Macaca mulatta: one gene and its partner. The protein of the gene in region 1 purifies or fractionates together with the protein of each later gene. This does not show direct contact. Links are inferred from orthologs where the notes say so. Each region holds a gene or a part of one and is shown on either strand. Other genes may lie near its edges. The genes, in order: STK38 and MOB2.

What was found.
Region 2: the proteins of STK38 (region 1) and MOB2 purify together in Homo sapiens (affinity purification with mass spectrometry; 7 studies listed by BioGRID and IntAct, with this or other methods). This does not show direct contact. The link is inferred for Macaca mulatta from reciprocal best matches to the Homo sapiens genes STK38 and MOB2.

Annotation. Positions count from the first base shown.
Region 1 is NC_133409.1:145,706,924-145,711,455, forward strand, and holds the start of STK38 (serine/threonine-protein kinase 38), read left to right. Parts: upstream 1-1,439; 5' UTR 1,440-1,702; exon of another isoform or gene 1,703-3,608; intron 3,609-4,532. UniProt on the Homo sapiens protein: Serine/threonine-protein kinase that acts as a negative regulator of MAP3K1/2 signaling. Converts MAP3K2 from its phosphorylated form to its non-phosphorylated form and inhibits autophosphorylation of MAP3K2.
Region 2 is NC_133419.1:1,383,739-1,388,010, forward strand, and holds the start of MOB2 (MOB kinase activator 2), read right to left. Parts: upstream 3,081-4,272; 5' UTR 1,947-3,080; coding exon 1,837-1,946; intron 1-1,836. UniProt on the Homo sapiens protein: Stimulates the autophosphorylation and kinase activity of STK38 and STK38L.

The DNA of each region.
Region 1 (4,532 bases):
AGCTTCTCTGAGTGTCAATTACTTTATCTGCAAAACCTCCTGTGTCACTGCCAAAGTGAGGACCTAGTGAGATGAAATAAGTGAAAGTTGTTTGTAAACTGTAAAGCATTATGCAAACATCTTGGACTATTATTAAAAGCTTAAGGATGGGTAGGACTTTGACAACAGGCATTTGGGGAGAAGGGCCTCTGGGCAGAGAGAATGAAAGGCGAAGTGATTGATTGATATGTATGTAGTGATTGACTGAGACAGGATCTCCCTCTGTTGCCCAGGCCGGGGTGCAGTGTCATGATCATGGCTCATAGCAGCCCTGAACTCCTGGGCTCAATCAGTCCTCCTGCTTCATCCTCCCCAGTAGGTGGGACCACAGGCACGTGCCACCATGCTGGCCAACTAAAAACATTTTTTAAGAGGTGGAGTCTCCTATGTTGCCCAGATTGGTCTCAAACTCCTGGGCTCAAGAAGCGATCCTCCCACCTGGACCTCCCAAAGTGCTGGAATTACAGGCACGAACCACGGTGCCTGGCCAGAAGTGATTTTTGTAAGAGGCTAGACAAAAGGAAACTGGGCTTTGAAGATGAAATGAATTAATGACTCGCAGCACATGCTTCCTTCTCTCCCTAGATGACCCCTTTGCAGGCAGTCAGGGACCATGTCTCATTCATCTTAGTTTCCAGGAGCCTGACACTTTGTAGTTGAGGGCATTGTGCTCCATTCTCAAGAAACGAGGAGTGCCCAAAGGCCATGAAACTTGGGACCTCTTTACCCCCTAAAGTAGTACAGAATAAGAGTTGGGTGGCCTTGAAAAGCACGTTCTTCTGTCCACACTGGGTCGCCCTCTGGGCAACCTCCCAAACCTATGAGAGCTCACCTTATCCCAGGTAAGGTCCTTACTTTGAGGAAGAGGAGGGGGGCCAAAGGCTCCAGCAGACCTGCTCTACACGGGGTAGGGGAGTAGGTGGCAACTATACAGGTGATAACATTTCATATAACTACACACACATACACACGCACATGACTGCATGCCAAACAGGTTAAATCCGAGTATGGTCTGTAATGAAGTTAATTGTATTGGTTTAGTTAACTGTATTGTGACAATGTCAATTTCCTGGCTTTGAGAATGTTGTATCTTATGAAAAATGTTGAGGTAAGCTGAGTGGGTGACGGTATACGGAACCTGTATATATTAATTTTGCAACTTCTTGTGAGTCCATAATTATTTCGAAGTAAAAAGTAAAATAAAAGAAAACAAGGGAACTTCCCCCTCAGCCCAGCCTACTTCGCCACCGCCCCACACTCACACATCTGGCCTCACCCAGGTCCCGCCAGCTCCAGACTGGGGGTGAAGGGAGGGGCAAGGCGGGGCCACGCACGCGCAGTCCCTCAATCCCGGCCTCACCGGGAAGTCGCGCATGCGTAGTCTCGGCCCCGGGTTGCCGCTCCAGCCCGTCTCCGCGGCGGGGGACCAGGCTGCCTTGGCCCCTTAGCGCTCCCGTCTTTTCCGGCAGTTGGAACGCTTCCTGTTGTCCTCACCCGCAACAGCCCGTCGCCCCCTGTCTCAGAGACCCTCACGCGTCCCCTCCCGTCTTTGGCTCGTTGGCTGCCGCCGCCGGGGCTTCGCCAGCCTTCACGTCGAGACTACTGGTAGAAGGGGCGTCTGCGGCTCTCCGCCGCCCCCAGCCCTGCCTCTCCCGGGGCTCTGGTGAGTTGCTTGCTGCCGACGTCTTCACTCCATCCCAGGGTTCTTCCTTTATCTCCTCCTTCCCCAACCGCCGACTCCTCGGGCTTTCTCCTTCTCGCCGACGCCCTCTTTCAAGCCCTAACCTCTCAGCCTCTCGTCCCCTCTCCTCCCCTGTCCTCAGCCCTCTTCTTCCCCCGTCTCCAGATGCCCCTTGTTGGCCCTCCACATTTTCCCAGTCCCAGCCTCTCCACCCCGTCCTTTCTCTTTCTCCTTCTGCAGTTGGAGCGGGAGCCAGGCTCTCCTTTCCATGTTGCCACCTTTGTCTGCTCCCTGCCACCAGTCAGTCCCTCAGGGATCTCGGTCATCACCAGTTTTCATCTCCTTTTCCTTCTGGGGTCTGTGAACTGTAGTCTGAGGCAGAGATGTCGAAAGCCCCCTTGGGGTGTGGTATCTTTGAGTCGGCTCCTTTCTCCGTTAGTCTTAAGATACTGGGCTTCAGATAAGCTTAAAATCACAGGAAAGGCAGGGAAGTTTCTTAAGAAGAGAGTGGAAAAGCAACAGCCAGAGGAAAGGAAAAAGTCGATAAGGGCTGAGAGGAAAGTCTGTGTCAGAAAGCGGGCAGCACGGCCGGCAGAGAGACCAGATCTCTCAGTTCACTCTGAAACGACTAAAAGACACGGAGAGAAACTTGTTCTTTTTGAAATGCACCGAGGAGGGTTGGAGTGAAGTAGACCCTGAGTGTCTCCACCCTTTCAACTCACCCTGCCTCTGAATTAGCCAGGCAGTATATTTGGTTTCCCTAAACATAAAACAACCACCACTACGATAACAGACTCTCCTCCCCACCCTAAACGTTAGATACTAGCTTCCTCGTAAGAGGAGAGAACGCTATAGCAAACCATTTCATGTCCCAGCCCTATCCCCCATCACACATAAACATCACACATAAACACCTCACGCTCGGAATGGCCATCAAAAATGGGTATTTTTCCTAGTTAATCTTTCTTAAGGTGCTAAGTGCATAGCACTGTGCATGAAATGGGGGACGAACATTAAAACAAGCATAAGACGTGGTGCTTGCTTTCTAGTGTAGGTAGGGATTACTGTTCAGTAGGATTTACAGTTCAGTGGGAGAAATTAGACGTGCGGCTTAAGCAGTAATCTTAGCTTCAATGTTGAATCGTCCAAATGAAAGATAATGGGTTGTCAGCCGCAAAGAAATGAAGTCCAGATTGTTGCGAGAGGGTTATTTATAGTGATCATAGAGTACCATTGTAAAGTCAATCAGTTAGCCAGGCATAACCATATAGATTGAATCGCATAATGCTTTTCATTTGACTTCCTTTTGAGTTTGCAGGCCTTAGCCTGACTTTTATGAGGATCAATTCCTTTTGTTAATTTTTAAAACTTTGAAGAATTTCTCAGCCACCTGTTATTTCCTAATTGTGCAGAGCTGAAGAATGAAACAAACAGGGCAAAGGCCTCCAATGGCTTCTAGGTCAGGGCAGGAAGGCTTGAATTATGGAAAGCCTGAGGGATAGTTCTGTCTTAAGAAAAGTTGGCCGACCCGTAAACCTATGAATTGCTATAGGGCAATATTAATTACATCTTTTGATTAAAGGATATTAGAATTAGGCTAAATTTTTAATATTACAATAGAGGAAGTGGAGGAGGGTTTAAAAGGTCAAAGGGAAGGAGAGTGCAATCTTTATCATTTTATTAGAAACTCTAAAAGTTGAAAAACACTCTGCTTAAGAATTTGTTGGTCTAATATTTGAGCATCTTTGAGTTCATTTATTGTCCTTTTGATCTTTTTAAAAGTTTAGGTAGTAATGCCAGCTACTTAAATTAGTCAAAACATTTTTGATATACCCATCAGTGTAAATGTAGTCTTTATTCTTTTTTTTTTTTGAAAAGGATTCTCACTCTGCCACCCAGACTAGAGTGCAGTGGTGTGATCTTGGCTCACTGCAACCTCTGCCTCCAGGGTTCAAGCGATTCTCCTGTGTCAGCCTCCTCTAAGTAGCTGGGATTACAGGTGCCCGCCACCATGCCCGGCTTTTTTTTTTTTTTTTTTTTTGTATCGTTAGTAGAGACGGGCTTTCACCATGTTGACCAAGCTGGTCTCCAACTTCTGACTTCAGGTGATCCACCTGCCTCGGCCTCCCAAAGTGCTGGGATTATAGGCATGAGCCACTGTGTCCAGCCATCTTTATTCTTTAGCTTTGTTGACAACTAAAAATCATTAACTTGTTCAACTTACATTTATTAACTGCCTGTTATATGGATGGCACTGTGTGCCTTAGGGTTAAATATTAGCAGATTGTTGTGTTTTGTTTGTTGTTGTTGTTGTTGCTGTTTTTAAGACAGGTTCTTGCTCTGTCCCAGGCTGGAGTGCAGTGGCACAAGCCGAACTCACTGAAACCTCTGCCTCTCCAGCTCAAGCAATCCTCCCACCTCAGCCTCCTGAGTAGCTGGGACTACAGGTGTGCGCTACCACACCTGGCCAATTTTTTGTATTTTTTTTGTAGAGACGGGTTTTGCCATGTTGCACAGACTGGTTTCAAGCAGTCTCCTACATCTCCCTCCCAAAGTCTGGGATTACAGGCATGCACCAGTGCCCTGGCAAATTGTTACATTTTTATGTTGAAGTAATTTCAGTTGTTAAAATGTAACTACATATATGTAATTTCTTCAGGAATTTTCAGACAAGGAAATACAAAACTCTCACTTGCTTTTGACATGTTTTTAGATCTGGTTTTTAAATTTCTTCACCAGACACACTTAGTGCATGTGGTTTTCATTGTGGGTGGAGGGGGTACAGGCTGACAAATAAGGAACCACACCCAAG
Region 2 (4,272 bases), on another chromosome or scaffold:
GAGGGCATCACATGCTGGGGTGCTTGGCACCACCCCCACCCCTACATTTCTGATGTGGCCTTCTGGATGTTGGGTGGGGCCTGAGAACTACATTTCTAATACAGTGTTCTAACCCAAGTTCTCCCTGGGTGCTAACCCCACTTCCGTCACAAGGCCTCAGGCCGAGGGGTGGGAAGGCCCCCGGAGCCCCTGTCCATCTCTCAGCACAGCCTGCACTTCCCACAGGCTTCAGCCAGCCGGAAGCTGTGGAGTGTGACTTCTTCTCTTCTGAGTTTAACTGTCTGCCCCCGCAGACAGGTCAGCAGCCCCAGACATAGCGAGCTTTCACCAGCCTACTGTGCCCTCCGCAGAGAGGCCCACTGAGAATGAAAAAGCCAAGATGGCACAAGGAATGCCTGCAGACACCTCAGACCAAACGTCCACACAGGCAGGTGCCGCTGCTGTGCTAGAACCTCAGCCCCACGTGGCTGCCATGCTCTGCTGCGCCTCTGCCCCTCCACGCGTCCGGCTCCCAGCCAGGGTGAAGCTCCAAGCGTCCGGCTCCCATCACTTCCCTTGAAACCTCCCTAAGCCCCAGGGAAGGGACTCTGCCCGTCTTCCTTAGGGCCTGGCTGGGCTCCAGGCCTGCCTCTGTGTTGCCTGTGGAGCTGGTTTCAGCATTTGGCCTCAGACACAAACACGCTGGCACACACACACGCACACATGCCAGTCCCCTCACACCACTGATGTCAGGCACCGTTCCTGATTTGAACTCAACGAGTTCTGCCAACCTGCCCACACATTTCCAAAACCTCCCAGTTTCACCTTAAGATAGGACATCTTCGGCAGGGTCCCCGGGAGGCACCCTTGCGTCTACTTGTGGAGTCCTCCGTGTTGAACGCACAGGTGATCAGGAGACAGGGAAGGAACCCATGAAGAGAAAGATGGAGCCAGGTGCCCAGGGACAGGCAGAGGCACGGAGATGCAGACGCGTGCCACAGCCCCCGCCCCTGGAGGGCACGTCCAGCAGGCCACGCTCGCCTCACACCCCTACCAGGCAACCCCACCAGGGAGGACGCGCCCACTGCTGCAGCTGGCTGTGCCTGCCCCACTCCCCTGGCCCCTCATGCCCACACACAGGTAGGTGCAGACCCCCCCCACACACAGGTGCACGCGCCCACACACGGGCGCACATTCCCACACACGCCTGTGCACACACCCAGCTGAGTGGTGTGGACAGGGAGGCACCCCTGCAGCAGGTCAGAGAAAGTACAGGTAAGAAAAGTCAAAATGGATTTTCCGGCAACATCCCTATGGCAGCCAGCACAAAACCAGGTACCCAGGAGCCCCATGCCACTTCTCTGGACAAGGCCACACAAGGACAGGCTCCAGGTCACCTCTGCCTGAGTGGCTGAAGCCCCTGCCCAGGGCACAAGCAGCCGAGGGCTGGGACAAAGACAGGCACACCTGCTGGTGGCGGAGGCACCACACCCTGCGGGCTGCGGGCGGACGCGGCAGGCTCCTGCGCTGGCAAGGTGGGTCAGCCCTGAAGGCCGAGGACACCGAGCCCTGCTCCTCTCCCACAGAGCAGCAGGAAGTGCAGGCGGCTAAGGAAAGCTCGACTCGGCAGGGCTCCAGAGCAAACCCGCCAGGCTGGCCCGGGACTGCACAGCTGCCTCTGCCCTGGACAGCATGCCGGTTGCCCGGCACAGCTTGCTGCACAGCCGCCGGCCACACAGGGAGGGCAGCCATGGACACAGTCCGCTGCCTCCCCAGCCTGACGTCCTGGGGGCAAGAACAGGACAGACAGACAGATGTCCTACACACCGCTCCCCCAGCCAGGCCAGCAGGTGTTACCTGAGCATTTTGCTGACAGCCTGAAGCACCATTTTGCAGCAGAGTCCAGTTTGCGGGGACTGGCTGGGCAGGGCTTGGTCTTCAGGGAGACTGCAGTGGTCTCCCAGCATGATGTGGGCGATGGGGAGGTGGGGAGGGCAGTTGAGGGGAGGTGAGGAGGGGAGGTGAGGAGGGGAGGTGGGGCGGGGTGCTGGCTGGCCAGCACTCACAAGTGCCTGCTGCCGGGCCCTGCAGCCTCTCTCGGCCCTCCACCCTCACTCCCTGACCAATGGGACGCCTGGCAGAGACAAACAGCTGCTCCCTTTCCAGAGGCAAGGGCCGGCCAAGGCTGGTTAAATAAGGGAGCATCTGAATCGGCCTTTCCAAAGTGGCACAGCTGTCAGAAAAGGCGGTGGGGGTGGGACCAGAAGGGAAGGGACAGGGCCGTCCTCGGCCTGCAAGAAGGACCCATCAGAGAGGTCCCGGGGTCCACCTCAAGGTCCTCTGGTGCCAAGCCCCCAGGAAAGCCCTTCTGAACACAGGTAGCAGCTCTGCTGATGAGCTCCAGGTTGATGGCACCCCCTCACCCTTGTCCGGCCCAGCCCAGCCCAGTCACTACTCGGGCTGGGGACAGACAAGATGGGCCGCCCTGCCCTGCAGTGTGTACACAACTGGAGGCACTCAAAGTGGCTCTCCCACTGGATGGCCCTGGGGAGAGACGGGGCCAACCAGCTTCTGGGGTGCCTGGACGGTGCTGGGCTGAGGCTGCGGCCAGCCAGGGCCACAGGGCACCCAGCCCAACAGAAACGCCCAGAGCAGCTCCCCATGGGGGCACACGGAGGGGCACGGCCCTGGCCTTCCTTCTGGCTGGCCTGCACACAGTAAGACCGCCACGCCCCGAAAATGCAAACACCTGAGAGGACAATGTTGTCTCCTCGTCCTGAGTCAGTGTGGACCCCACTGGCAGCGACAGCCCCTGACAACACGGGCTCATCAGAAGCCCCACCCACCCACATGGGAGCCGTACTTCCTGTGCTTCCTGCCAATCAAGAGACCCCAGCATCTCCAGCCACTGCCCCTCAGAAGCTGTCCCAGCACCTCTGTCGGTGTGAAGCCCTGCAGGAGTCAGGACACAGCCCGCAGCACCGGCTGCTGCGGGGAGCACACGGCCATCAGGAAAGCAGCCAGGGCTCACCCCTATCAACACCAGCCACCATGGGAGCTGTGGTGTCTCGACTGCATGCACACACACAGCCTGGGCGCACGGGGAGATGGCCAGCACAGACACACTCTCCAGGAGCCACGGCGGAGGAGGATGGCCCCAGGCCAGCCCCGCCTCCCTAAGCAGCAGCAGCAGCAGCAGCAGCAGCAGGCCCAACAGGCTGCAGTTTCATTTTCCCCACTAGGCCAGTCCCTAAGCCACGCTCTGAGCAGTGCGGAACTCGTCTCTACAGAACGAACAGCCCGGTGAGGCTCAGGATGTCCACGTGCCCATGGGCCTTCCTCTGCCCTGACAAGGCCATCCCACAGCCCTGTGGTGCCACACACACCCAGGCACCGTGCTCCCGGCTGCCGCTCTGCCCTCAGGGGCTCCACCAACAGTAGGGACACAGGTGCTGGCAGATCACCCAAGCAGCAAAGGGAGCCACAGGAAGAGCGGGCTCCGGGCGTGGGGAGGCCCCCGTGAGTAGCAGGGCTGGGACCAGAAGGTGCACGATGCAGACCTGCCCACTCTTGGGAGGCATGAGCTGCTGGGGGCTGGAGGGCACAACACAAGGCACGCTGGGGATGGTGGAAGCTTTGGGCACAAGAAGCCAGAAAACGAGGCACGGCAGCGGTGAGGGTGGCATGGGGGAAGGGAAACAGCACAAGGTGCCAGGTAGGGTGGGCAGAGCACATCAAATGTGCCCAGTGGGTCTGGTCAGCACATGGCAGCTATGTGGCTTATGCCACTGTCCTGAGAAGGCTGGGCTGGCATGCGGAGGAACGTCCACCTTCTTCTGTGTTTGTTCACTGGGGCACACGTGCAGGGAGCAGGTATTCCTATTGATCAAAACTTAGGGGGTGCGGCGGTGGTGGGGAGGGCCAGCCGGAACCCACAGACACTGAGCTACAGATACCACACTGGGAAGAGGAGCAGACGCAGAGCAGGCCCTGCAGACTCCACGGGGAGCTGCCACAGAGGCCCGCAGGCCAGTGACAGGTGCCGGTGTGGCCTGACCCCGCCACCCCAGAAAAGGAAGAGCAAAAGCACCTTCCGGGCACAGCCAGGGCCAGGAACAGAGAGCACAGGAGCGGGGCAGAGGCACCGCGCAGTGGGGAGCAGTCGGAACCAAGGCGGGATGGGGCGGGGGCACGAGTCATATGTCTGTGTCGGAAGTTATTTTACCTTTAATAAGCTTTTCGTTTTTAGAAAAGTGTTAGATTTACAAAGAAGCTGCAAACACAGAATCCCCA